7 linked regions of the Rattus norvegicus genome follow. The protein of the gene in region 2 interacts with the protein of the main gene of each other region in a biochemical or structural test. Links are inferred from orthologs where the notes say so. Each region holds a gene or a part of one and is shown on either strand. Other genes may lie near its edges. The genes, in order: Rad54b, Rad51, Rad51ap1, Sem1, Abl1, Evl and Sumo1.

Region 1 (3,500 bases), on a different chromosome or scaffold from region 2:
CGGCTGCCCACTCCTGGGAAGTCCAGTGAGTGAGGAAAGAACTTTGTCTCAGTGCCTGCCGTTCTTTCCAAAGCCCTTCTTCACACCCATCTTGCCCCCACCCCCCAGAGCTAATCTTTTCTGTTTTATAGCTGCAATACTAGCCTCATGCTGAATGGGGAGGAAAAATAACCACATAGTAAAGCCAAATCCAGTCCCTTTCCCATTGTTCCTCCAGTCTAAAGGCTCTCAAGACCCAAGGCTGAGCATGAAGTCGGAAGACTCCTCTCTGTTCCTCAAAGACATGGGAATCACCTAGACTCTGCTTCGCATTTCTCCAATTCCATTTCCTTTAAAAGAGAATTTTCTAAGTACTAAACACCAGCTTCTCTACTATCCAATTTTTATGTTATTATTACATAGAAACATTGATTGGTTATCTACTAAACACTGGCATCAAAGTATATATGATACTTGATGCCAAAATTATTTTCAACTTTAATTGACTAGATTAAAACAAAACAAAACAAAAAACAGGCCCAGAACGATGGCTCAGCAGGGAAAGAGTCATGGCCAAGCCTCACAACCTGAGTTCCATCCCTGGGACCCACGCAGTGGGAGTATAGAACAGACTCCTATAAGGTGCCCTCTGACCTCCAAAGCATGTGCACACCCACACATATACACACGAAGCAGAGATAAAACAAGGCTGCGTGTGCAAGACAAAATGTCTACCACATAACTGAGTTACATTCACAGGGATCAACTCCTCTGGGCCTCAGGACAACTCTGTAACATGACGCCATTATCTCTATTTCACAGACAAGGAAATCGAGGAGCCAAGAAGTTAATTACTTTCCCAAGTTGCGCACTTCACTGGCAGACTGAGAAACCAAGCACGCCCAGTCCAGCCCCATCAGCCTCATGCTTTGCTATGATACATTAAATTCATTCCTCAAAAGGCAGAAACAGGGCTGCAGGAAAGTGCTCAGGGATCTGAAGACTGATAATCAACTAACATAGGCTTATTCATATGAATTCCCCCAACATCGCCAGTTCTTTTTATGTTAAGCATCAGATTACAGACTGTAAAGGTTCATTAACCAAAAATTCCACCCCATCTTCCCCAATGTGACTACTAACCAGTCAGAATTACTCTCTTCTCACAAGAGAGGCTAGAAAGGGCTGCTGTTGTCTTAATACCACTGTTCTTCAACCGGTGCCCCTCATCACAAATCAGAAGGCCAAATGTTATGGTCTTAATTCGATCTAGAGAACGAAGTAACATTTCATAACTGATGATAAGAACAGAGTGAAATGCAGAATTGATAAACTCCTCGACTTTATGGTCCTAAAGAGAAAAAAATAATAGTTAACAAACCATAGACAGAAACTATATAATCAAATCTAAGCAACATACTTTGCCCACAAGTAACCAGCTATCACATTAGCCAGTAACCAGTAACCAGCTATCACATTAGCCAGTAACCAGTAACCAGCTATCACATTAGCCCTTCCTGTCTTGGTCCTGTTGGGCTGCACTAAGAAGGCTTGAACAACAGCAATGACCTCTCATTGGGATGGGAAGCCAAGACCGGCCCATCAGTGAAGTTGGCTGCAGCCATGGACTCTGGTATACTCATTTTGTTTTTTCCTTCCTTCTGAGCTCTCCTGGGTTTCTCTCCCCTACAACTGCATTAGATCCCACGACAATCTCTTAAGTCAAAGGACAAAATTACACCCGCACACCCAGCAACAGAACCTCCTCGGCATCGCCAAAGCCCCATGGAGCTGACCATAACACAACGGTCTCAGGTAATACCAACCAGACCACAGCCAGACTAGTAAGACCTCGACTGTTAGCATAAAAAGCCTTCCCTTTCTCCTGAGTTTCACTGGGAAGTGTGGCTCTCATAGTGAAGAGGGGAGGATCTATCTCATCTCCCTTCCTTTAGTACCAGCATACTAATCTCCACAGAGCTCCATCCTTATGACTTTAATCCTAGCCACCCTCCAATGCCCTATCTCCTAAAGCATTACAAGCTCCTGAGTGACTTCTGATGGTTGACTTCTGGTATTTTGATTTGAAAATGGTACATAAAGCCATTCTGTTTTCTCAATATTCAGAAAAACAAAAAAGATATTCAACACCCTCTTATAAAATAGGTTTTTGTAAGGTGATTACAGACGATGTTAGCAGCCAGTCTCTGCTGAGCCCCCCACCCCACACTGACTGTGAACAGTCTCACCATGGCACCTCAGCTGACAAGTGTTGTCTAGTGAGTCTACAACAAAGGGGTTCCCATACTGTCCCTGACCCACTCCATGCCTCCTGCCTATGAACCTCCTCCTCCTGAAAAGTTATAAAGAGACTTCTTCTTCTGCCCCTTGGACTTTGATTCTCTTCAGAGACACTGCCATGATGCTTTTTTGTGCTGGGGACCGAACTCTCCTCAGAGTCACGCTGTTGTCTCTGTCTCTCTAAGTCATTAACAACACTTCTAATAAACTTCTTAGTCCCCAGTAATCCAACTCAGTGTCATCTTGATTCACCTGCCCACATATAAAACCTGAGTTTTTTGAGGTACAAACTAATATAACTGTTTTAAGCACATTTAAAGTAAATTAGGCTAAACTATAATGTACAAAATATTACATGAATTCATAACACATATATGTAGTTATGTATATAACAGGCTAGATCTCATTGTATAGCTGAGGTTGGCCTCAAATTCTGGATCCTCTTGTATGAACTTTCAAAATTCTAGGATTATAGACATATGCCCAGCTGCGTTCCCAACTTATGGCAGTGCATAACCACATGACAAGAAAATGAACACTTGCACACTGAGAGTCAACACCTGAACACGTGACTCTGGGGAACCAAAGGTAATCATCTGGTAACAACTCAAAATCAAAATGTAGGTCAAAACTCCATTTCTATGCAAGGGGCTTGTGGAATTCCACACACTCAAAAAGCTAAGAACTATACTAAGCTAAAAGGCTAGCTATTTTAAGAACATTTAGGACTTAAACCTTTAAAAACCCCTTACCTGATCAACAGTGAATATCTTGATCCTTTCGCTTCCCAGCCATTTTTGAAATTCTTTTCTCCAATTATTCACCAAGCTTCCAGGGGTAACAATAAGTGTCCTCTTTACTATTGGCTTGCCCCCGTAAGGCCCCTGACACTGGAGGGTCCAGATGAGCGAGATACACTGCAGGGTTTTCCCTAATCCCATCTCATCAGCAAGAATGGCACCACATTTGCCAACTGCTCTGTTAGAAATAATTAAACTGCATTGAATCACAATGGGAAAATGTTTCATGCCCTGATATCATCAAGAACAGGAAACTGGTAATAATGACCCTGCAGACTAGTTTAGTGTTTCATCTAGCTGATAACATCCTACCAGTTTTGAGTCTTTAACAATTATAACCATTATGTATTGTGAACTAATTACCAAAACATGAATCTGAAGTTAAAAATCTGAATATAAAACCTCTATTACTGTCACTAG
Region 2 (3,500 bases):
TGGTTAAGAGTTCTTGTTCTTACAGAGGACCCAGGTTCAGTTCCCAGAACCCACGTGGTAACTCACAATCACCAAAACTCCAGAGCCAGGGACCCACTACCTTCTTCTGATCTCTGCAGGCACCAGGACATGATGCACATATATACAGGCAAGTGAAATACTCACACACGTAAATTAAATACATCCTAAAATCATCCATGTATTTAGAATTTGAATGTCAGCATGAACTTACATAAACCAGACTGCTGAGATTACAGTGTGTATCACCATGCTTGCCTTCAATTTCCTTCTGTCCCCCCCCCCCTTTTTTTTGAGACATGGTCTCACTATGTAGCTCTGGCTGTGAGGGAACTCCGAGATCCACCTGCCTCTATCTCCTGAATGCTGGGATTAAAGGTGAATAAAAAGGGTTGGGGATTTAGCTCAGTGGTAGAGCGCTTGCCTAGGAAGCGCAAGGCCCTGGGTTCGGTCCCCAGCTCAAAAAAAAAAAAAAAGGTGAATAAAAAGTGGAATTTTGGGGGGGGGGAGGGGAGGAGAGCTGGTGCCTTTGATCTTATATTTGGCAGAGAAGAGTCTCATGTTTGAGTATCTTCTCACACATCCGTCCCAAGGCCAGAAAAGGCATACTGGTAGCCCTCTAACAAATCTCTATATTGAAGCTTAAAGGAAGTTGTAAGATAACTCAACATAGGTGCTGGAAACTAAGCTCAGGTCCTCTGCAAGATCAGATTATACTCTTAACCACGAACATCTCTCTAGACCCTTCACACTGCACCCCAGCCCCCGGAATATTACGTATTAATATAGGTTAATAAAAACATTAAGAGGTACTGTGGATGTGCACTGTTATCTTGGCATTTCAGTGGCTGTTGAGATGGAACCTATGACTTTGAGCATGCTTGAGTCACCATGTGACTTTTATATCAACATTCTACCAATATCATTCTCTTTCCCCCTCTCTGGTGGTACTGACTATTAACTGGAGCCTAGCACATGCTAGGTGAGTACTTTCCACTGAAACATGTACTCAGCCTCTCTTTCTACAGTTTTTTTTTTTTTTTTAAAGATTTATTTATTTAGGGCTGGAGAGATGGCTCAGCGGTTAAGAGCACCCGACTGCTCTTCCAGAGGTCATGAGTTCAATTCCCAGCAACCACATGGTGGCTCACAACCATCTGTAAAGAGATCCGATGCCCTCTTCTGGTGTATCTGAAGACAGCTACAGTGTACTTATATATAATAAATAAATAAAAATTTATTTATAAAAATTTATTTACACAGACCACAACAGCATATACATAACATAATAATTTTAAATATCCCTCTGAGGTGAGATCACATTCAAAATGATAAGATAAACAACTTTACTGTGGGCTGGTGGGAATGTGTTTTTGGCAGTATTTATATCAATTTCCACGATACTGCAATTCTCCACAGGAAATAAGAATTTAAAATAAGGGGCTGGGGATTTAGCTCAGTGGTAGAGCGCATACCTAGGAAGCGCAAGGCCCTGGGTTCGGTCCCCAGCTCTGGGGGGGGGGGGGGGGGGGGGAGATTTTAAAATAAAAGCTGTCAGCAGTCACTTCCAGAATGGAAACCAGGTGACAAGGGGGAGGAAGGGGACTAAGGACCAATCACTGTACAGCACCCTGTACTAATTATTCTCACTAATGCCTCCGCCTCTCCGCCATCACATAGGTACTTACCAGGATTTTGTCAGCTTTGGCTTCACTAATTCCTTTAATATTTATCAGTTCCTTCTTTGGTGCATAAGCAACAGCCTCCACCGTGTGGTAACCAGCTTCTTCTAATTTCTTCACATCATTGGCATTTATGCCACATTGCTGTAAGAAAACAATGAATAAAGTTAGGTCTCTTGTCTAATGCGGATATTAATTAATTACACTCAGAGACATGTTTGAAGATCACAAATATATGCAAAACCCCTGAAAAGTTTGACTACACATGAGTTATTAATAACAAATTAAAGGCATATACCTTTAATACTATCAGGTGGAAGACAGAGGCGGGTGGAGCTCTGAGTTTGGGAATAGTCTGGTCTATAGAGTAAGTTCCAGGATAGCCAGGGCTGTTACTCCCCCCCCCCCCCCAAAAAAAAAACCACTGTCTCAACAAAACTAAAACCTGTTAATGGCTTTTTTTTTAAACTCCCCCTCCCACCTGCTAATGGTTTTTTAATAAGTGTGTTACAATTTTCCTCTTAAGCCAGCTAGATCCCAAATAACTAAGACTGGACTGTATTTTTATTTACCAAATCTGTAATGACATGACAACTTTTTTATTACTCTATTTTAATCCTCTATGCTAATCTGGCCACTTCCGAGCCAGAATCTCGGAGATACTTGCATTCTATGGCTTTCTCCGCTCTAGTTGTTTTCTCATGGTGTCTCCTAGACTGTCTCCCCATGGCTAATTCCTACCTCCTCTCTCTGATGCCCTCTCCCTTGGATGGAAGGAAGGAAGGAAGTTCAGCCCCATCTTCTCTCCTGCTCAGTCATTGGCTGATTGACTAGCTTTATTGACCAAAGAATAAATGGGAGCAATGCTCATACAACACTGAGGCAGGAGATAGAATACTGTAACTAGATATGGAAGCTCAGAAATCAACATTTGAATTACATAGTACAAAAATATCATTATGTCTAAAGAAAAAAAACCCCAAACACCAAATTATCAATGTTTTCATTATCAAAGTTATAGTTTTGGGCTGGAGAGACCGTGAGATGTGGCAGTGTTTACCATCACCTGGGGAGGCAAGGGCAGGTAGACCCTTGAGACTCACTAGCCAGGCAGCCTAGTCAGTGAGCTCCATACCAAAAACTGTCAACAAAACAAACAGAAACAGATGAAAGAAGGGGATGTGCTGGGAAGAGAAAGGGATCAGTAGGAGGAGGGCAAGTGAAGGTGACAGGGAGCCAATCAATACATCATAAACATAACAAAACATATCATTATGCAACTTAACACAGGCTAATTTTAAAAAAAATCACACATACACACCCCCAACACACACACAAAAGGAGGCCCTGGGAAACAGGCGTGACTTTTGGGCCAGCCTGGGTTTCCAGCACCCACATGGTGCTTATAACTGCCTTCACCTCCAGTTCCAGGAGGATCTGAAGCTCATTTCTGACCTCTCTGGGCTCTAGGCACAGAGGTGGTGTACAGAGTCATGAAAGCCAGACACTTATATACAAAAAATAGTAAATCTAAAAATTAAAAAGTAAAATACAACACACAAAACGACAGGTAATACTGGTTACACACCTATAATCACACTCAGGAGGTGAAATTAAGATTAGCAATCAAGGTTATTCTCATTTACACAGTGAATTCTAGGCCATGCTAAGTTACATGAGACCTAGTCTTTTTTTCTTTTCTTTTTTTTATTTTTGGAGCTGGGGACTGAACCCAGGGCCTTGCTTGCTAGGCAAGCTCTCTACCACTGAGCTAAATCTCCAACCCCGAAACCTAGTCTT
Region 3 (3,500 bases), on a different chromosome or scaffold from region 2:
TAGCTTTTGTCCCTAGCCACAATTCCTTTTAACTAGACATGTGCATTAGCAAAATGTTAGAGGGCACAGGCGAAGATCTGGAAACCTAACAGACCCGACCCGACCCTGTAGAACAATGGGTTTGAGAGCAGGCTCACCTGATGCCTCCTCACGTTTGGGTTTTGATTTCCTTTCCTTCTTTTCTGCTTTGGGTTTCTTCTGCACTGGTTTCTTCTTTGTTTCTTTACCTCTTCTCACACCAAAGTCTTCATCGCTTTCCTCACTCTCATCAAAATCAGGATCACTTTCTGAATCTTCACCTAAAACAGAAATTACACAGTCTTTCTTGGTTTTAAAACAAAACATGAGACTTCTGTTATGTCATCTGCCATGGCCCCACGGTCACTCAGCACACTTAGAATGTCTTACCTCCATGAAAGCATGGTGCCTGACCTCAAACGTCAGCTCTCCTGACCTAACACCTCCCAGCATCCCTTTATAACCTCCACACTTCCTTCTCCTTTGTGGGGCTTTATTTTCTAGTCCTAGAGCTCAAACCACGGAATCCACACTTGCTGGACAAGTTCCGCTGGGCTGCCTGAGGCCCTTCAGTTTATATACCATCGCTTTAAAAACGTTACATAGGTGTTCCCTCCTGTGACACACTCATCAGAATTTGAGCTGTTTCTCTCATGACTGCTCCCTAGCGCCTAGACTATGACATATACCAAAAGCATCAAATATCTGTCCAGTGAGTGAGCACATCTGTTATTTGCTGATAGCGTGTCAAAATCTAAAACACTGTGTCTGATTGGTGTTAATGTACAGACTTACTCTTTTAAATTTTTAACACATTACAATTCTGTCATATTTTCCCTCTGCCCTTATTTCTATTAAGTCTGAAAACAACTGATAATAAAATAGTCTCATATTACTTTCAACTCAACATACTTCATACATTTCTACTAGTTATAAAAAAAGCTGAAACCTGTTGGAACAGGTCAAGGGTTGGTCCATGGCTAGTGACAGCCCAGCCTGCCGCTTCCGCCTCTTTCCTAAGTCTCACTGAGCTGGTTCTCGAATGTGCTAGTCTGTCTCAATGCTCACACCTTTCCCTCGGTCAGAAATGTGACTTCATTCTTTTGGTTTTTCTAATGCTGTTTGTTCAGATTTGGCTTAAAGGTTACCCCTAGACAGTTTCTCTCGATGTGGCCAAGCTCAATTTAACTGTTCTATGAGTTCTCCAGTTTACAAACTTCCAAGGCTCAATACAGTGCTTTGTGTCTACCCTGCTCTCCACGCAGTTTTTCCTGAGTTCCCGCAGAGTAACCCGAAGCAGGACACAGCTCACCAGTCGCACTGTCCGGCTCAGTGCCGTCAGCACTGCTGCCACTGCTGCCTTCTGAGAGCTTCCTCCTCTGCTGAGCCCTGGCTTTAGATGTTGTTCTCCTCTCTCCTTCAACATCTCTGACGTCCCCCTCCTCTGTGATCTTGTTCAAATCTTCTGGAGACACGAACACCAGTGAGAACTCCGGGCAGATTCCATGACCTCTGCTGCCCTCCTCTGCTACCAGTAACACACACCAGGCCATGGGCCATGCCAGGACAAAGTCTCCCAGGAACAGACTCTGGTTTTAAGGGTAAGTCTGAGACCTTAATGAGTCATAGCCAAAGAACTTTCCAGATGCAGCCCTTTCTTATGTGGCCACCGACTGTGGAATGAAGGGTCTGAGTAGTCACGACTGTCTAGTGTGGAAGAGAGTAGATCTGCAGTCAGAGAGAACCAGACTAAAGCATAAAGAAACAAGGGCCAGGATGGGGAGACTGTTCTAGCTATGGGTGTAAGAACTTAAACAAGTTAGAAAAATAGCACTGTGAGTGAAAAGAGCTGTCATTAATATCGAAACTTACCTACATCATCACTGGCTACACTGCAGTTAGAGACTCGAGGAGGTTTATCTGTCTTTTCCGTTTTCCTTTTGCCGGTTGTGTCAGTGCCTAACACAGGAAGAAAAGAACCTCAGCCGCATCCCAACCAGTCATTGTCTAAAAAGCAGGAAGATGATCCCTGAAACACGCTAACACATATTAACACATAGACGGGAACAAACCACCTCAAAGTCATACCTGCCCAGATGTTTTACCTGGAGGAGCCAGCACACACTGTGAGTGCGAGCTCTACAATGACTCAGGTTCACAGTCAGCCTCCGTCTGTAAACCTGCTCATCGTCTCTAGATCTAATTCCTGGTCTATCATTTGAAGATAATAAATAAGTAATATCACCCTGTGTGGACGAATCCACAGTCATGCTGACTTAAGCTCTGTGGTGGCCGGACTGTCCCTGTAAGCTCACATGAGCACTTTTGGGATGTGGAGCCCTGCTGAAGGCAGTAACTCACTGGAGGCTGAAGAGGTTAGGCTCAGTCCCTCTAGTCTGCTCTTTATCCTCCTTGAATGTGAACAGAAATGTGATCAGCCAGCTTTCTGCTCCTACCGCCATGGTCCCCACCACAGACTCTCTGGAACCACAAGACAAAATAAACTGTCTTCTATAAATTGCTCTTGGTTATGGTATTTTATTACAGCAACTGATATAAACGCTTTCCAGTCATTACAACCTAAAAATGATACAATGCTAGAATATTCGTACTGTAGGTGGGCAGCCTTGGATTTCAGCCCTAGCACTCACTATAAAACAAAACACAACCAATTCCAAGTATTTAGGAGACTTAAATAATGATATTGACAACATTAAGTCCCTGTGTAATGAAGAGCATTACTCAGTGAGAAGTACCAATTCCAAGGAAAATTCCTGCTCTAGGTTTCCATGTCTTCTGCAATGAATTCTAGTCCTTTGATTTTAGATATAGCACATAACAACACTCTTAAAATGTCTGATTCCTGGTTAATAGCCTTCCTAATAATAATGGTTTATTTTTAGAGATAAAAGTAACTTAAAAAAATTAAAAGCTACGCCCATTCTGTCACACATACAAAGTTACAGAAAAAACAAAATCACAGAGAAACTTAGAAGTCACAGTCTCACTCTGAAGTCTGAGCTTTCAGAAAGGTTTTGTTGTTTGTTTCTTTATGAGACAGGGTCTTACTGTGTGGCCCTGACTACCCTGGAACTCACTCTTTAGACCAGGTTGGCCTCAAAGTCAGAGATCCATCTGCGTCTGCCTCCCAAGTGTTGGGGATTAAAGGCCGGCACCACCACGCCTGGCTAGCACCTCCAGTATCTCACAAATTATTCCTATTAGGACACGTTCAAGAAACCTGGATTTAAAGGGAAAGGAAGTGAACTGTTAGGACTATACAGATAACTTCATCAAGACTGGACTCTTACCGCACAGCAGCAGCTGCCGCACAGGGCAAATCCTATCCTTTAGGAATGAAGCAAAGAAACGTATGTGTGGGACACTGACACAGTCGAATAAAGAACTGAATCCAGGGTGACTGCTGCCAAGTGCTCTTTTTATAGATTAAGCTGTGTTCCTTCCTCTGTGAGGGCCTACCT
Region 4 (3,957 bases), on a different chromosome or scaffold from region 2:
TGTGGGAGGAGTTGGAGCAACAACACTCCCAATCGACACTGTGAAAACAATTCAATGACTTGCCTGTGACAAGCTCTACAGTGTACAGTTTGCACACAACCCAGAGAGTAGTCTGCTCACTATGGAGCGCTCTCAAGTAACAAAACCCCTGGAGTAAGACATCCTATAATGGCAGAGACAGCTCCAGATTGGCTTAACAAGAAAATGTTTCATTTATTCTATAAATGCGTTTATCAGTGGTATATTTTTCATAAAGGGCCATCACAAGAAAAAACAAAAAAAACAAAACAAAACAAAACAAACAAACCAAAAAGGAATGGGTTTTCCAAAGGAAAAGCACTTGAAAGTAAAATAAGGGTACAAAAAACTTAATAGAAAACTCAAATACTGAAAGATGCAAATTTTAAGAAGTGTTTCTAACATCCCCTCAAACAATGCAAATGCCAAGACTGCTGGTCCATGAAACCGTATTTCATCAGCAACAGTAGATCTATAGCATGACAAAACCAAAAATTTGAAAGAACATGGTTAGTCTCAAACAAAGAAAGTTCCTCAGTTTTTTTGTTTTTGTTTTCTTTTTAGGTTTTCTTTCCTTTAGTTTGTAATCAGTTTTTAATTTGTAAATACTTAGTAATTTCACCGAATTAATTATATATCAAAAATCTCCCTAATTTAAATTAAGGCTATGTAACTGTTAACCAGAAGAAACATACATGTGCATAACAAATTATTTCAAATGTTACTTCTCATTTAAATGTAAAGATTCCTCAACAAACTAGACTCTACATTCTCACAGAGACAACAAATTTGGAAGATCAATAAATGACACTGCATTTACACTGTCTCCTGTGCATTCTTTTGTCTTTAGAATATTTTTCCTTAACTTCAATAGAATGTTTAAACACAATACAACTGTCAACACTAAAGAGACTACTACTCAAAATACAGGCTTTGAAGGACAGACACTACACTAAAGTTGACAAAAAGTGCTGAAAAAAATCTAGTACACTGTCAAGCTGACAGTTACTTCTAAATTCTTTTGCCATCTAGTTATTTTAAATAAATACTTGCACTAAAGGTAAGGGTTAGAATCTGGGTGGGTGCATTGGTCAGGAAGGCCTCTTAGATTCTGAGTTGGCCACTTAACGGCAAGAGTCATGGTTTGTTTTATTTATGTGAACTCTACTGCTTCAAGATTGGATGTTGAACTCTATTCAATGCAAAGCAAGTGTCTTAACTGTGTAACTTGTATATAATAATAAAGAGCATCTGAAATAAGTAGTTAGACTAAGAATCTAACCTTCCCTCACTTAGCCAATTTTACCACAAAGCTCTATTTAGATTATTAATGGGCCTGAAAACATCAGACTGGACAGATAAATTCATTACCTAAACAAAAGGTAAACTATCCCATAATATATTATAGACTCCTAACTGGGAGGAAATATATCTTCTAAATTGGTTTTTGAGGTTGCATAATATATATATATACTAATGTTCTCTTTCACTAATATTAAAACATTGCATTATCCGCAACAGACTAAATGTTCCTGGGATGTGATTCTATGCACCCTGAGACCAAGGTGGGGTAACTAAGTACAATTTTTGCCAAGTGATAATTGCTTGATGCCATATGTGCCCACGACTACCCACAATTCTCTTCCTACCACCTTCAGAAAGGCAACAGTATAACTCGCTTTTTAAAAAGGGGGTAAATATTTGGGAATTCTACTGAAAACAATTAGTCAATAAAGTAATCAATTTAAAACATGGCCAAAGGGGCCCAGCTAGCAAACAGAAGGTAACTGTTAAACTTAAGGACTTTGGTGTAAACTAAGTCATCTCAGTTTTATCAATTCCAGTTGACACTGGGCCTGTTTTTCAACTGTTCCAAACTTCCGTTTCCTTATGTGAATAATGGTAAACACATTAGTATCTACTTCTTATATTTGTGGAAATGGATTGTGGCGATACAAGTGAAGCACTTACATTCCCAAGATCATAGAGCAAACTCTTCAACATTAGCTATATATATTATCTACAATGAGACAATTAAAGCATCCCTAGTATTGAAGTTAGTTTAGAATGCAGATGTTTAAGAGTTTTATAAAGCTTGGGTTAATTCAAGTGACCGTAAATGGAGAGGAAGAGAAATTGAGGCAAAATTTGTAATAAGTATACCACACAGGACTCTACCATCATACTTCAGAGGGCTCATTCGCGCTGTCCTAAGAGTAGACAGCACTGTCTGTCTGGGGCAACAGTGGGATTCTGAAGTTTAATACCAAGGGGAGGCTGTGAAACCCAAGGAAAGCAAGAGATTGTGTAGATGCTTAGAGTCTAGGGCTGGAGTTTAAAGGCCCAACCTCGCGGCAACGAGGGCCCAGCTTCACCTGGTTCCTCCCAGCGACAAGGAACAAAACACTGGGCCGCGCCTTGAAGCGACGGCTACCGGGACTCCGAACCCGAAGCCTGGACACCCGGAGGCCGTGCCGGGATCCGCGCGGCTGGGCACAGCTCATCCCCGCAGACTCAGAGAGCAGGCCCGACGCCGCCCCACCGTAGGCCCCGGTCCCAGCGCGCGGCCTGGCGGTTACCTTCCGCGGGAAACTCCTCGAACTCGTCGTCCTCTTCCAGGAGACCCAAGTCGACAGGCTGCTTCTTCTCGGACATAGCGCAGCGCCAAGCCCCAACAACGCTCAGAGATCGACCACAAAGTTGGAAGCCTCAGTACTAGTGAGGCGCCGATACTACCAACGCCGGCGCAACCATAGAGACTAGAGGGGAAGAGCTACAGGGCAGCGCGAGGAATGCTGGGACACCGAAGGTCCTCCCAGAGCTTCCTGCGGGTGTAGCCGGTCCTCCTGTCTTGAACCAGCGAACTGTTTTGTTTTATAGTGTTCGTTCGTTTTATTATTCATGTACTTGTCTACGTGTGAAAGATTTACAATGTGTAAAATTAGTAAAGAACAATACTTAGCTTACAATCATGAACGGAAATCTAAAAAGATAAAGTAACATCAGCTAAGAGCCAGGCCCCACAACATACATTATTTCACTACTCAAACCTATTCCTTGAGCACACAGTTAAATATTTCCACATCACAGGAAACTCAGGACCAAAGGCAGGCGAAGTCACTCAATACTAGACAATCCTGACTGTGTTCCAACGTTTCCATTGTGCTGTGCCCCTTGGCCTTAGAATTGTGTGTGGTAGGGTCTCTGTGTTCTAACTAGTTGACAGGTTGATGTAAAAATTAAATGAAAAAGAAATAATGTAACGTTGTATTGTTGTTCAAAAGATATAATTTTGGTTTCTTTTTCTTTGTTTTAATTGTGGCACATGGAAAAAACAAGACAATGACAGATATAAGAAAAGCTAGTGCCTAATTTTTTTTGTCTTTTTCTTTTTCTTTTTTCTTTTCCAGAACTGAGGACTGAACCCAGGGCCTGTACTTGCTAGGCAAGCGCTCTACCACTGAGCTAAATCCCCAACCCCACTAGTTCCTAAATTAACCACATAGTAACATGTATTTGTGGAGCTTACAAACTATGCTCTATTGCATCTAAAGGAGTCTTAGATGAGGTACTTAATTTCTCTTTAGGGAAAAGTTTTCAATTAGCAATAATCGCGCCTCGGATAAACCTCATAGGCTACGATACTGCCACTGCGCAAAGCTTAATTTCTCTTTAGTATAATTTGTTTATTTGCAGCACCACAATCAAGATTATACATATAACATGCATAGTTATAGATGCAAATATAACGTTATTAGATAATATGAAAACTGAAGCAAGTCCGTAATCCCTACTACTCAGGAGACTGGAGCAGAAGGAATCCTTGGGTACAATATGAGTTTAAAATCAGCCTGGACAACTTAGTGAAACTGTGTCCCCAAACTAAAAGTAAACAGAGGGCTAGAAATATATCCCCAGTGGCTCACTACCCGGTGACAG
Region 5 (3,500 bases), about 91 Mb from region 2:
ATGCCCACAGGGCTGTGAAGAGCACAGCAAAGGTGGATGTGCTTTCTTGGCAGGAGTCCCAGTTTTCAGCTTGTCTAAGCAACTGCTGAAAGGCTCCCCTGGGCAAGAGGCAAATCTTCTTCCCTGGGCTGGACCACTGAGGAGGGACTGATGCCCTCTGTGCCAGGCCCACTGACGGCTTCTGCTTGCCTGCCTGGTTTGAGGGGTGAGGGATGGGAAGGGCGGACGTACCGCTTTCGCCCAGGCCCTTCGTGTGGAGCAGTTCCAGGGCGTCAGGTGCATCTTTCTGCTCAGCGGTTTTCCTGCAGGTTCTGGTCTTGGTGGGCAGCTCTGGGGCCTGCAGGGTGCTCCCGGCGGCTCCTCTCATGCCTCGTTTCCCCAGCTCCTTCTCCACCTCTAAGGACCACATAAACATAACCCAGTAGTCATCAGCAAAGATGCCAGATTGCAAGGGATTCTTTTTTCTTTGCTCTTTTTCTAATTTATTTTAAAGTTACTTTTTTTATGTGTATGGCATTTTGCCTGCAGGTATGTCTGTGTACCACATGGGTGCAGAGGCCAGAAGCTGGTAATGGATCCTCTGTGACTAGTGTCGTGGGTTACCATCATCTGGGTGCTGAGAACTGACCCCAAGTCCTCTTAGCCACCATGCTAGCTCTCCAGTTCCTGGGATTCTCTTTTTCTTAAGATTTATGCAGTTAGAGAAAAGGAACACAAAGCAGAAGAAACAGCTCTTGGCATGTTCTAGAACTCTGCATGCCTGCACCTGACAGACACAGAGCCACCACCAAAGCCTCTGAAGAGTGCTGTCTGGTACCAGGTCTGAAGTGAAGGCTTGTCCAGCCTCAACCCAACCCTCAACCCACTGCAGGCCCCTGGGAGGCATGTTACCGTCTGAGATGCTGGACTCCTGGAACATGGTTTCAAAGGCTTGATGGATTTCAGCAAAGGAGGGCCGATCAGAGGGGTTCCACTGCCAACCTGGACAGAGAAGGCCACGTCAGAGCAGCCGGAGAGCATCGCTAACAAACCAGAACTAGCCACACCCAAGGAGCAGTCTGGACATGAAAGAGGCATTCCAAGCCTGCTGATGGCTGAGGCTGGGACAGGCTAATGGCAAAAACTCCTGTGTCCTCTGACAGACACTAAGAATTAAGAAGACATCATATACAGGCAGTAATACTGTTTGCAAAATCCCAGAGACACCGATAATAAAAACCACATCTATAAACATTTCTCCAAACCCCAGTGATAGACAGGGAGTTAACAAGGCAACAGCCTGCCTCGGTCACCATCCTTACTGATGCTATCAGTGTCTACCGTCCCCATTAGCACAGACGAGCATCTCTCTTGCTTCTTTGAGATTAGACCTCATTACTGTCTGGGCTGTTTGACAAGCAATACTCCTGCCTCAGCTTACCTTGCACTGAGACCACAGCCTGTATCACCAATAGCATGACAACGAGACTAAAAGGACTAGGGCTTGGAGAGGTGGCTCAGCAGCTCAGAGCCTTGCTGCTCTTGCACAGGACCCAGGTTCAGTTCCCAGTACCCATGGGACTCACAACCGTCTGCAACATCACTGGTTTGTTATCACAGCACAGATTCTTTGGACCTACGGCCCAGCTTTTAGGAATATCGTGCTACATGTAGAGACGAGGCTAATCGTGTGTGTCTGCCTTATACGCAGCAGCAAACACAGGGCCACAAAATGGCACACTCTGCCAAGACTGATGCTAAGTTTGACCACTGGGATCCACACAGTAGAAAAAGAGAATCAGCTCTTCAAAACTGTACACTGTAGAATGCATGCCCCATAAACAAACAAACAAAATAAATAATAAAAATATAATTAAAGCAAACAAGTGTGTAAAATATGAGTGGATGCTTCAAACTGTTAACTGAAATGCTAGACAGCAGCATTAATGAAGGTAGGGAACATGGTGAGGAAGATCTAAGTATACAGACAGCAGCACTATATGCTAGGAAAAAAAGGTGAGGGAATGATCACATGAACACATGATACAGCCATGTGCACACATGCACACCACACAGATGCGCTCATACACTCGCACAATACAAACACCAGAGTTCTATCATCTGGAGCGATTTGTAGCCAGGTATTTGGAAGCAGGACCTAGGGATCTGTACTAATAATACCCAGGTTGACATCTAACCCTCTCTATGCTTAAAGAACTTAAAGCGACCTGGGCATGGTGACTCATACCTGTAGTCCTCGAGCTTGTGTGGTTCAAGCAGGAGAGTCACTGTGTAGTCAGGGCTACATAGTTCAAGACCCTGATCCAAAACAAAAACCAAACAAAAACCAAAACTAGCTGTCCCAGAGGGAGACAAAACCAACCCAGAGGTACTACATCTGGGAATAAGCGCACGGAAGACTCAAAGTCACACTGCATGGATGGCTTGGGAACACAGGGACAGAGTGCCAGGGCCCACTGGAATGGCTTTGTGCAATTTCCTCAGAGTAGTGCTGAATGGGTTGGGGAGGCTCACATGCTCGCATGAGTTCGTAGACTTTCTCTGGGCAGCCTTCCGGGCGCTCCATGCGGTAGTCTTTTTCCAGCAGCTCATAAACCTGAGACAGGTCAATTCCCGGGTAAGGTGACATGCCATAGGTAGCAATTTCCCAGAGCAATACTCCAAATGCTGAAAGAAAGAGGGAGAGGAAGACTATCAGGGTGTGTGAGCATTGGCCAGTGAGGTAGCATCTGCACAAAGCTAATGACCTTTCAATCCTGAAACCCGGCATAAAGGTGGAAGGAGAGAAGTTGTCCACAGAGTTGTGCTCTGACAGTCACATGTGTGCCATAGCATGCACACAACCAAACAGACATATCACACACATACATACCAAAACACCCAAACACACACCCCGCCCCCAACACACACAGGACATACAGGCATTTTCCACGCTGTGCAGCAGAGAGACCTGCAGAGCAGTCCCAGCATTGACAGTTACCAGGCTCTCCATGGTAATAGCCTAGGAGAGGTAGGACAGAGCAAAGCTGTTTACTCAAGCTACTCTAAAGCATGCAAGGGAGAGAGGGGAAGGTGAGCCTCCTGGGGCACAGGGTCCCCCTCGGGTAGGCAGCATAGGGCTCTAAGTCAGCTGCCATGTTCTGAGCATAGCTCTGTGACTGTAGCCACATGCCTGTCGGGCCGTGGGTTGTTTGAAGGTGAGATTACTTCCAAGGTCCCTTCCAGCTGCAACAGTTTGTAAAAATCTTGTGAACTGTCAAAGTCGTGGCATCCTTCTTCCCACTAAGAACCAGGATTCCTTAGAAAAACAGGTGATTGAGACCTAAGACAGGGAAGAAGCCCGGACTATCTTGTTCCCTGGAGCACAGATATTGTGGAAGACTACAGGGTACTGTCAAAGGACAAGGAAGGAGACGGCCAGAGATGAGGAGAAGAAGCACAGTATACTGGAACACAGGAATGTGTCAACAAAGAACTCAGAGTGACACCACAAAACACTA
Region 6 (4,228 bases), on a different chromosome or scaffold from region 2:
CTCAAAAAAAAAAAAAAAAAAAAAAAAAAAGCCAAAAACCTAGAAGCAGACAAAGCAAGCCCCACTCTCCTGACATCTGAAGCACGTTACATAACATAGCAAGTGACTCCTCACCAGAAACAGTCAAGTCAGACTACAAGACAGCGTGAAAAGCTGGAGCCAGGGGAGTGCTGAGTTCCGAAACTAACCAATGAAAGGAGTGTTTAAAGTGGAGGAAAAGGTTCTAATGGTAATGGTTGCAGAGCTCTGTGGACAGTCTAAAAACCATGAACTGCATGCTTCCCTGGATGCTTTGTGCTATGAGTTATATCTCAATAAAATTGCTTATAAACCAGAGGAAGGTGAAGGATAAACATTTTCAAACAAAGTCTAACAATCTGCTCCAGCAGAACCTACACTAAAAAATACTAAAGGGACCAGGCCGGCAGTGTACACTCAGAATCCCAGCAGATAGGAGATGGTTAAGTTCCAAGTCAGCCTGAGACCCTGCTCAAAAACAACAAAAACAAAGACACAGGAGATGGTTTCAAGGATAAACTGCTTCCCATGCAAGCTTGAAGGTCTATCCATATAACCCATATCAAAGTAGGTGGGTGTGGCAGCCTCCCTACAATTCTGTTAGAAGGAGACAGGACCACAGATGGTTAGTGGCCAGCTGTGGGTTCAACTGAGAGACCCTGCCTCAATGAAGAAATTGGAGAATAACTCCTAATGCTAACCCCAGGCCTGGGTGTGCCCCCGCCCCTACGGAATGTATATGCACACATGCACTCATATACATAAAAGATACAAAAAGCAGACAAGCAAAAGCTTCGGATAGCAATCATTGGATGCGTGCAAGACCCTTGCCTTGGTCTGATACACCCAACATTGCGATAGGCAGAAAGACAGACACTAAAAGACGTTCTTCAGACAGATATGACCCCAAAAGGAAGTCTGAAAGATGACAAAGGTGGCATTGCAGCTGAGGGAAACAGTGAGCTTGGTAAACGATGAGGAATAAATCATGATAGGTAAATGTGAAAACAGTTCCTTTTACACATTACACAAAAACCAGTTCCAGGTGGACCATATTATTTTATATAAAAAGCAAAATATTAAAATTTCTGCAAAATGTTAGCAAGCTATCTTCTTCACTTACGAATAGTAACTCTACCAATTAGGAAGAAGACAACCCCTCACGCTAAAACTGGACAATATTTAAACAGACACTTAATTTTTAAAAAATGCCAAACATACACAGATGGACAATCAGCCTCTTCAGTCAACCAGAAACTGCAAATTAAAACCCTGATGGAATGTCACTTCACACTCACCAGAATGGCTAAAATTTCATCAGACAATACCAAGGGGTGTCAGGGATTTTAAACAAGGGTTATTAAATGTTTGCTGGTATAAACTGGTAACATGACTTTGGGAATTTTAGTTCTATCCACTACAACAAAAGATGTACATGATTTTATGTTTAAAAAAAAAAACCAACAAAACCAACAACAACCTGCTTGTGGGTAGGTAGAATATATATTCATTAGAAATGAATGCTTTTGGCATATTCGCCGAACGGTTAATAGCCCAAAACAACCCAAAAGTCTACTAACATTAGCAGAATGGATAAAGTGTGGACTGTCTACACTACGCAGGACAGTAGATAATAGAAACCTGATGGATGAACTTCAGAAATACCTTGGATGAAAGAAGGCAGACACAAAAATTACATAATGCATTATTGAATTTATACAGTTCACAAAACAGGTGAAACGAATCTACAATTGGACACTACAGTGTTTTTAAGAAAGATGTATCTAGAAGATAACATTGCACAGAAAGAGAAAAAAAAAAAACCGGCATACGCTGCCATGCGCCCCGCCCCGCCCCCCACCCCACCCCAGAAAGCAGGCTAAGGTTAGTCTGGAAAGGAAACCTGGGTGCAGCAGCGATGAAGAGAGCACGGGAGTTTCTGGGTGTTGACAAGGTTCCGGCTGAGGGGCACATCAAAAGCCGTACCTTTTGGGGGTTACACAATGTGCGGGTTTGCAAGAGAAAGGGGACAGGTCAGAAAGAAAGGTGATGATGAGAGCGCCCTGATGGAGATGAGCTACAGAAGCCGAAGTGAACAGGACCGCCGCTGAGGCGCTCACAGCCGGCAGACAGCACAAGGCGGGCGCGGCCTCCCGCGGACCCCGGGGCCTGACTGTCTTCTGGTGCTTGGGCCGCCGGCTGAGGGTTCCGGTGCCCCCTCGATGCTCGGACACCCCGCCCTCCACGCCCGGCGCTCCAGGCCTCGCCGCGCTCGAGGCCCCTACTCACCTCATCGTGGCTGCCGGGCGGGCACGGGGCCGGGGATGAAGGCGCGGCGCGACGGGGCGCTAGCGGGGCAGCCGGCCCCGGGCGCGGCGGCTCCGCGTCTGGCTGGGCTGCAGGCGGCGGCGGGGGCTCATCTTCTCCGGCGGGCGTCCGGGCCGCTAGCTGCGAGGCAGCGCGGCCGCGGCGGCGGCGGCGACTGACAGCTGGGCCCCGGCCCCTGCCATCTTGGCGGGCGCGCGTGCCCGGGCCGGCGCGTGCGCGTGCCGCCCGCCAGCCGACGGGCCGGGGGAGGGGGCGAGCGGCGGGGTCTCGAGGGCGGGAGCGAGAGCGCGCGTCCGCCTTGAAACTCGGGGCGGCGGCGGGAGGATGGGGTGCGGGGTGCACGCGGGGCGGAGGGACCCTCCGCCCGCAGAGGGGACTGCGCGCGCCGACGGCCCTCGGTCCGCGGCCGCGGAGGGAATGGGTGCGCGCCGCAGAGAAGCTCCACACAAAAGGCGCGGGGCTCGGCGGTCCGCGCCTCTAAGAGGGCGGAGCGTGAGGGGGCGGGACAGGGGTGTGGCCCAGGTCCAGAGGGGTGGGGCGAACCTTTGTGGAAAGGGTGGATGGGCCATGGAGTCTGGGGGCAAGACAGGGGGCGTGGCCTAAGGTCCCAAAGGAGAATTTGGGAGAAACTGTAGTTTGGAGGAACAGGTTAACTTAGTGAATTCCAGGATTTTTGTTTGCAAGGGAAAGATTCCGGGCGACCTTTGCGGGAAAGCTTCGGGATCTTAGGTCTAGGAAAGGCCTGGAAGAAGGAGTTAGTAGGGAGAAACAAAGCCGAGCTCCACCGAAAAGCCTGGAGGGTCGTGGGTTTAGGGCTGGGGATTGGGGCGTAGACCTGGAGCTAGGCGGGCAGAGTGGGCGGAGACCCCACAGAATCCCTGGTGGTGGAGGAGCTGTCGAGGGAAGGGCAGGTGGAGAGGCTTAGGGCAAAGGGTGTGATTTGTGAGTCAAGGCTGAATGGGGGGAGAGTGTTGAGGCACATGGAGCCCTACTTGTACCAGCTTTCCAGTGCATTCAGAACAGAGCATTAAGGGCTGAAAGATGCAATCTTGAACGGATTCCTGGATCTGCAGTACTGTTAGCATTGCCTGAGGTCATAGTCTTCCTAACCGTATTGGTTCCCTTCTTCCTGGGATCTATATTGGTCTCTTGGTTACAGAAGAGCCTTGTCACGTGCTAAGAGTTGTGAAAATAGTGGGGCCTCAGGTCAACTGAAGGCATCCCAGGTGTCCTCAGGAGAGTCCTGGTTGCTGCATACCTTGATTCCAGCAAGGCATTGTGTTCTTCCTGCTTGTGGCCACCAATCGCCAGGTGTTTGCTCCTGGGATCTAACAAATTGCCATTCTGTGACTTGGAGGGCATAATCAATTGGGTTTGTTGTAAAGACACCGTCTTTCCGCCGCGCCCCCACTAGAATCACTGACACTAATGAGGAATCACTTCTCAAAGCCAAGGACTGGTGGCCTCCAGAAAGAAATCTTTTTGAGGTCACATGTTTCAAAAAATGTTAACCTTTTGTAACGTTTTGTATCAGAAGGGTGGAAAACACAAGTTCTTCTACTTCCGAGGAATAAAGCCTTCATTCTGATTTGCAAATAGAGGTTGGCTTCAGAAGTCTGAGTTCGGGAAAGGGGAAGGACAGGTGGGAATAGGGAGAAATGTGAGCAAGTCCCTTTCAGTCTGTTTCCTACTGACCTTGGGGCTTCAATTGAGCCCCAGCAGCCTGTAAGGTGAGCTTTAGGATTCCCACCTAATGGATGGGGAACTCAGGGAGGTTTGAGCATGTTTGGCATTAAATGTGGGGCCTCTGCTTCTGCAGACATTGTAAGGCTGGTTTAGAAAAAGATCTGCATCCTCCACAGGGAAGCAGGATACAGCAGAG
Region 7 (4,191 bases), on a different chromosome or scaffold from region 2:
TTCAAATTCCTTCTTTTGATGTGAATGTTCATATTTTCATTAGTAATTGTTAATAATTTTTTAATTTTTATGAGTGTTTCTGTCCGAATGTGTGTCTATGAACCACATTTAGGCCTGGTGCAGTGCTGAAAAACATATCAGATTCTCTGGGACTAGAGTTATAGGCATTTTTGAATGCATATACGGGTGCTGGGAATCAAACCTGAGTCCTCTGGAAGAGTAGCCAATGCTCTTTGATTGCTGGGCCACTTATAATCGGCTCATTACTAATTACAGAAAAGATTATTTTATTAATGTCTTGTACTGTGAAGGTTTTTGACTTACTTTAGTTTTCATTTTTCCCCCCTTTACTTAGTATAACCTTAATCTTCCCTGAATGTTTGTGCAAGAGGGTCACTGTATTCAAAGGAAGATGTTTAGGTCTATGATGTAAGGCAACTAGTTTATGAGCTGGAGGGAGCTCTTGCAACTTCAACTTTCAATAGCATTTTGGTCATCTATAGCCACCAAGACTTTGTTCTAGAGCTGGAGATGTGGTGGCCCAGGTCTTTAATCTCAGCACTGGGGAGGCAGAGGCAAGAGGAGGCCAGTCTGGTTGACTTAGCAATGTTCTATAATAGCCAGAGCTACTTAGTGAGACCCTGCCTCAAAACACAAAACAAAACCAAAGATGTGACCGGAAGGGTTGTTTCTTCATGCCCCACCCCTAGACTCCCACAGGGTTCTTCCATGTAGCCTTGGCTGTCCCGGAACTCACTTTGTAGACCAAGATGGCCTCAAACTCACAGAGATCTGCTTGCCTCTATCACTCGGAGTACGCCACCATAACTCAGCTCGTTGTGGTTAACTTCATTCACTCTGACATGCTAGTGGCTTCCAAATCGCTTTCACTTTCTCTCTTGTAGAAAATGAAAACTTGTTACTATTGTATTTCTAGTAATCAAAGTCATGAATGTGGCAGCAGCAAGCAAGAGGGGGCCATAAAGATATTATACAGGGAATTCACTATATTCAGGAAGAGTTGGTTCCGGCCTCAGAAGCGTACAAGATGTCCAACAGGGAGGAGCCTAAGCGGTCAGTTTGACCCCAAACACACACAGCCTGCAGGCAAAGCGCTGGTCTCCCTAAGGCCTGAGGCAGCGGGCCGGTTTTCCCGGCCCCGCTGAAGACCTAGCGGTTCTCTTGCTCCAGGAAAGTAGCTTAACCTTGACGATTTCATCTCCCGCATTCCCTAAGGCGTTTTCCCGCTTCCCTTTCCCGTCTTCCCAAACTCTCCTCTGCGCGCTGCGGAAGTGACGCAAGACGTAGCGGAAGTCCCTGCAGCCGCGGTGTTGTGCTGTGGAGAAGAGACGGATTTGTAAACCTCAGAGTGCGGTTCTGCCTGCCGGAGGCCGCTGTGGTGCGGAGACCCCCGGGTGAATCCACCGACACCATGTCTGACCAGGTACCGGGCCACGGCCTTGGGGCTCAGGGCCGTCGGCTGCTGGCTGAGCCCCTGGAATGGGGCGCGGGGGGAGGGGGTGATGTTGGGGGAGGGGGCTGCCGGTGGGGAGGGGGCCGCGAGGGACGCCGAGCGCCTGGCAGAGTCGGGCCGAGCCGCCTGGGATCGAGGGTCTCCGGGTTTTACGCACCCTCCGCGGCCCTTTCGGAGGCCTCTACCCCCACGCCATCCAGCGCCGGGTCTCTTTCGACTGCTCCCAGGTTTCTCTCGGGCTCGCTGGGGGCCCAGGCCCGCTCCCTTGTCCGTGAGAGCAACCTGGGGGAAAACGACCGTTTCCCTTTCAGAGGACCGATGGCAGAAACAAGGCCCTAGGCCCAGTTATGTAACGGGAGAGAATCCCTGCCTGGGAGGCTAGGTGGCCCTGAAAAGCAGCTCGATTCTACTTTGGGTTCTTGGTCCCGGAGAGTGGGGGGCGGGCAGGGATCCTTGTTTGGGGTGACTGGGAACCCAGGAGACGCTGCTTTTCAGTTGTGTTTGCCTGGAGGGTCAGTCCGTCTTTGCCCACTTCAGAGTCATTTTTCCATCCGGGGGTGCGGAGCGGTCGACTCTTTCTCTGTACTTTCCATTTCTTACTCGGGATTGGTCCATCAACTCTCCAGTTGTAGGAGCGCTCAGAATAACCGAGAAACAACAAACTGCGTAGAGTGCCACCACCAACATGCCATCCATACGGTTTTTGTCTGGCTTTCCTTTTGTTTGGTCAGATGACTTAATTTTCAGAGTATTTTTTTTTTTTTTAATTTTTACTTCTTTAGTTACAATTCAGCAAACTTTTTTCATTCTACTTTACATTGTAGTTGAGCTTTTTTAAAATTTTTTTTGTTGGTTTTTTTTTTTTTTTTTTTTTTGAGACGTTGGTTTTCTGTGTAGCCTGGTTGTCCTGGAACTCCCTCTGTAGACGAGGCTGGCCTCCAGTTTATAGAGATCCGCCTGTCTGTTTCCTGAGGATGAAAGGCTTGCAACCACCCCAGACTGGCCATAGTGGTTCTATTTTTATAGCCTATCTACACTGTAAATTAGTTGTGGGATGGATTTACTTATTAATAATCTGGATTATTAATCTTTTGGGCTAGAAATGACTTTATGAAGCCCATAATTTGTTTATGACAGTTGTTTACTTAGTTACCAGAGAGGAGAGATCAGCTGTGTAAACGCTTATGCTTCATCAGACTTCTATTTTTAAAGCATGTTAGCCAGATGAGAGGGCAACATACAGAAAGAGTTTTAAGTTTTAGGATTAGTTTTGCTCTAGTTTGAACTTACATTATGTGAGGATATGAAGAAAGAAAAGAGGACCCTAGGACACAAGGTTTCAGGGAGTCTGCAAAGTCACTCTATGCTTGCTTAGGACTCTCTCACCTCACTTGGGGTCTTTGGGTGCTGGACCTAGGGCCTCCCACATGTGCTTGCCAGGCAGGCACTAAACCCTCATTTCTCCTTTTACTTCATTTCATTAAGTTGTCTAGGTTGGACTGTAACACACTTGTCTTTGAACTTGGACTCCCTCAGCCTTGCAGAGTAGCTGGGATTACAGAGTTATGCTGCCACACTTGGTGTGTGTGTGTGTGTGTGTGTGTGTGTGTGTGTTTCTCATTCTATCATGGATGTTCAATGAAAATTTTAGAAACATGACAAAAAAGTAGAACAAATCTTTTTTTTTGAGGCAGGGTCTTAACTATGTAGCTTTTCCTGGCCTGGAACTCAGTTTCTCCTGTGTCTGTTTCCTGAGTGCTGGGATTAAAGATGTCTACCACCACAGTTGGCAAAACAAGTCTTTTTTTTTAAATTGAGCTACACATTAAAGCAATTTGCATAGGAAATAGTGCTGCTACTCTTAAAATTTTTGTCTTTAAAAAAAGTAATAAAAATGTATCTAACATTTTAGGGGTTTATTTAGTTCAAGTCAAGGGTTTCTCTGTGTAGCCTTAGTTGTCCTGGAACTTGCTATGTAGATCAGATTGGCCTCAGATTTTCCTTGCCTTGCCTCTGCCTCCCAGAGTGTATACCACCACGACAGCTGGGTTGATAGGTTTTTAAATCATTGAGAGTGTGATAATGGATTTGGGAGCTGTTGCTTTAGGCTGATGGATAACATTAATCTTAGTTCCCAGAACAAGTTCAGTATTGAGTGTTAAAGATTTGGAGAAAACGGTTAAGTGAATCCTTGCCTGTAAGAGGTTTATAAGTGAGAGTAGGAATCCCCAAGTACTGTGTGTAATAGCAACAGCCTGAGACTGAGCTGTCTTCAGAAGGTGGCCTTAGAGGGTACTTTTTCAAGTTGGGGGGTTCGATAATGTGCTTGACTTGAATACAAGATGCCCTCCAGTACCCATGCACATTTTATTTTCTGAGGCAACTCTTAGAAGCTTGTATCTTGTGCTTAAAATAGTCACATTGAGTAATAGTTTCAGCTTTTCTCTTTGTTTTGAGATGCTCTCACTGTGTATCTAGGCTGGCAGTGATCCTTCTGTTTTTACTTTCCTGAGTCCTGGGATTACAGGTGTATGTGTATGCCACTGTGTCTTGCCATAATTTCAGTTTAAAATGAGTGGATCTTTATATCTAAAATAGATCACAATCTAATGCCTAAACCTTGAGAATTCACTGAATTATGCAGTTTTTTTAAAAAGAAGGTACTATAGGTCCCATCATTGGTACATGATTTCCCAAAGAATGAGGATCATTCTATA

The links.
Region 1: the proteins of Rad51 (region 2) and Rad54b form a complex in vitro, tested with the Homo sapiens proteins (2 studies listed by BioGRID). The link is inferred for Rattus norvegicus from reciprocal best matches to the Homo sapiens genes RAD51 and RAD54B.
Region 3: the proteins of Rad51 (region 2) and Rad51ap1 form a complex in vitro, tested with the Homo sapiens proteins (6 studies listed by BioGRID and IntAct). The link is inferred for Rattus norvegicus from reciprocal best matches to the Homo sapiens genes RAD51 and RAD51AP1.
Region 4: the proteins of Rad51 (region 2) and Sem1 form a complex in vitro, tested with the Homo sapiens proteins (2 studies listed by BioGRID). The link is inferred for Rattus norvegicus from reciprocal best matches to the Homo sapiens genes RAD51 and SEM1.
Region 5: the proteins of Rad51 (region 2) and Abl1 form a complex in vitro, tested with the Homo sapiens proteins (2 studies listed by BioGRID). The link is inferred for Rattus norvegicus from reciprocal best matches to the Homo sapiens genes RAD51 and ABL1.
Region 6: the proteins of Rad51 (region 2) and Evl form a complex in vitro, tested with the Homo sapiens proteins (2 studies listed by BioGRID and IntAct). The link is inferred for Rattus norvegicus from reciprocal best matches to the Homo sapiens genes RAD51 and EVL.
Region 7: the proteins of Rad51 (region 2) and Sumo1 form a complex in vitro, tested with the Homo sapiens proteins (2 studies listed by BioGRID and IntAct). The link is inferred for Rattus norvegicus from reciprocal best matches to the Homo sapiens genes RAD51 and SUMO1.

The regions. Positions count from the first base shown.
Region 1 is NC_086023.1:29,881,465-29,884,964, reverse strand, and holds part of Rad54b (fibrinogen silencer-binding protein), read right to left. Parts: intron 3,259-3,500; coding exon 3,033-3,258; intron 1,331-3,032; coding exon 1,123-1,330; intron 1-1,122. UniProt on the Homo sapiens protein: Involved in DNA repair and mitotic recombination. May play an active role in recombination processes in concert with other members of the RAD52 epistasis group.
Region 2 is NC_086021.1:126,560,710-126,564,209, reverse strand, and holds part of Rad51 (DNA repair protein RAD51 homolog 1), read right to left. Parts: intron 1,845-3,500; coding exon 1,707-1,844; intron 1-1,706.
Region 3 is NC_086022.1:161,448,560-161,452,059, forward strand, and holds part of Rad51ap1 (RAD51-associated protein 1), read right to left. Parts: intron 1,978-3,500; coding exon 1,891-1,977; intron 1,484-1,890; coding exon 1,331-1,483; intron 300-1,330; coding exon 138-299; intron 1-137. UniProt on the Homo sapiens protein: Structure-specific DNA-binding protein involved in DNA repair by promoting RAD51-mediated homologous recombination.
Region 4 is NC_086022.1:35,655,663-35,659,619, forward strand, and holds the start of Sem1 (26S proteasome complex subunit SEM1), read right to left. Parts: upstream 2,801-3,957; 5' UTR 2,674-2,800; coding exon 2,598-2,673; intron 1-2,597. UniProt on the Homo sapiens protein: Component of the 26S proteasome, a multiprotein complex involved in the ATP-dependent degradation of ubiquitinated proteins.
Region 5 is NC_086021.1:35,471,587-35,475,086, reverse strand, and holds part of Abl1 (tyrosine-protein kinase ABL1), read right to left. Parts: intron 2,668-3,500; coding exon 2,515-2,667; intron 982-2,514; coding exon 892-981; intron 397-891; coding exon 232-396; intron 1-231. UniProt on the Homo sapiens protein: Non-receptor tyrosine-protein kinase that plays a role in many key processes linked to cell growth and survival such as cytoskeleton remodeling in response to extracellular stimuli, cell motility and adhesion, receptor endocytosis, autophagy, DNA damage response and apoptosis.
Region 6 is NC_086024.1:133,237,119-133,241,346, reverse strand, and holds the start of Evl (ena/VASP-like protein), read right to left. Parts: upstream 2,801-4,228; 5' UTR 2,313-2,800; coding exon 2,308-2,312; intron 1-2,307. UniProt on the Homo sapiens protein: Ena/VASP proteins are actin-associated proteins involved in a range of processes dependent on cytoskeleton remodeling and cell polarity such as axon guidance and lamellipodial and filopodial dynamics in migrating cells.
Region 7 is NC_086027.1:68,600,004-68,604,194, reverse strand, and holds the start of Sumo1 (small ubiquitin-related modifier 1), read left to right. Parts: upstream 1-1,391; 5' UTR 1,392-1,432; coding exon 1,433-1,444; intron 1,445-4,191. UniProt on the Homo sapiens protein: Ubiquitin-like protein that can be covalently attached to proteins as a monomer or a lysine-linked polymer.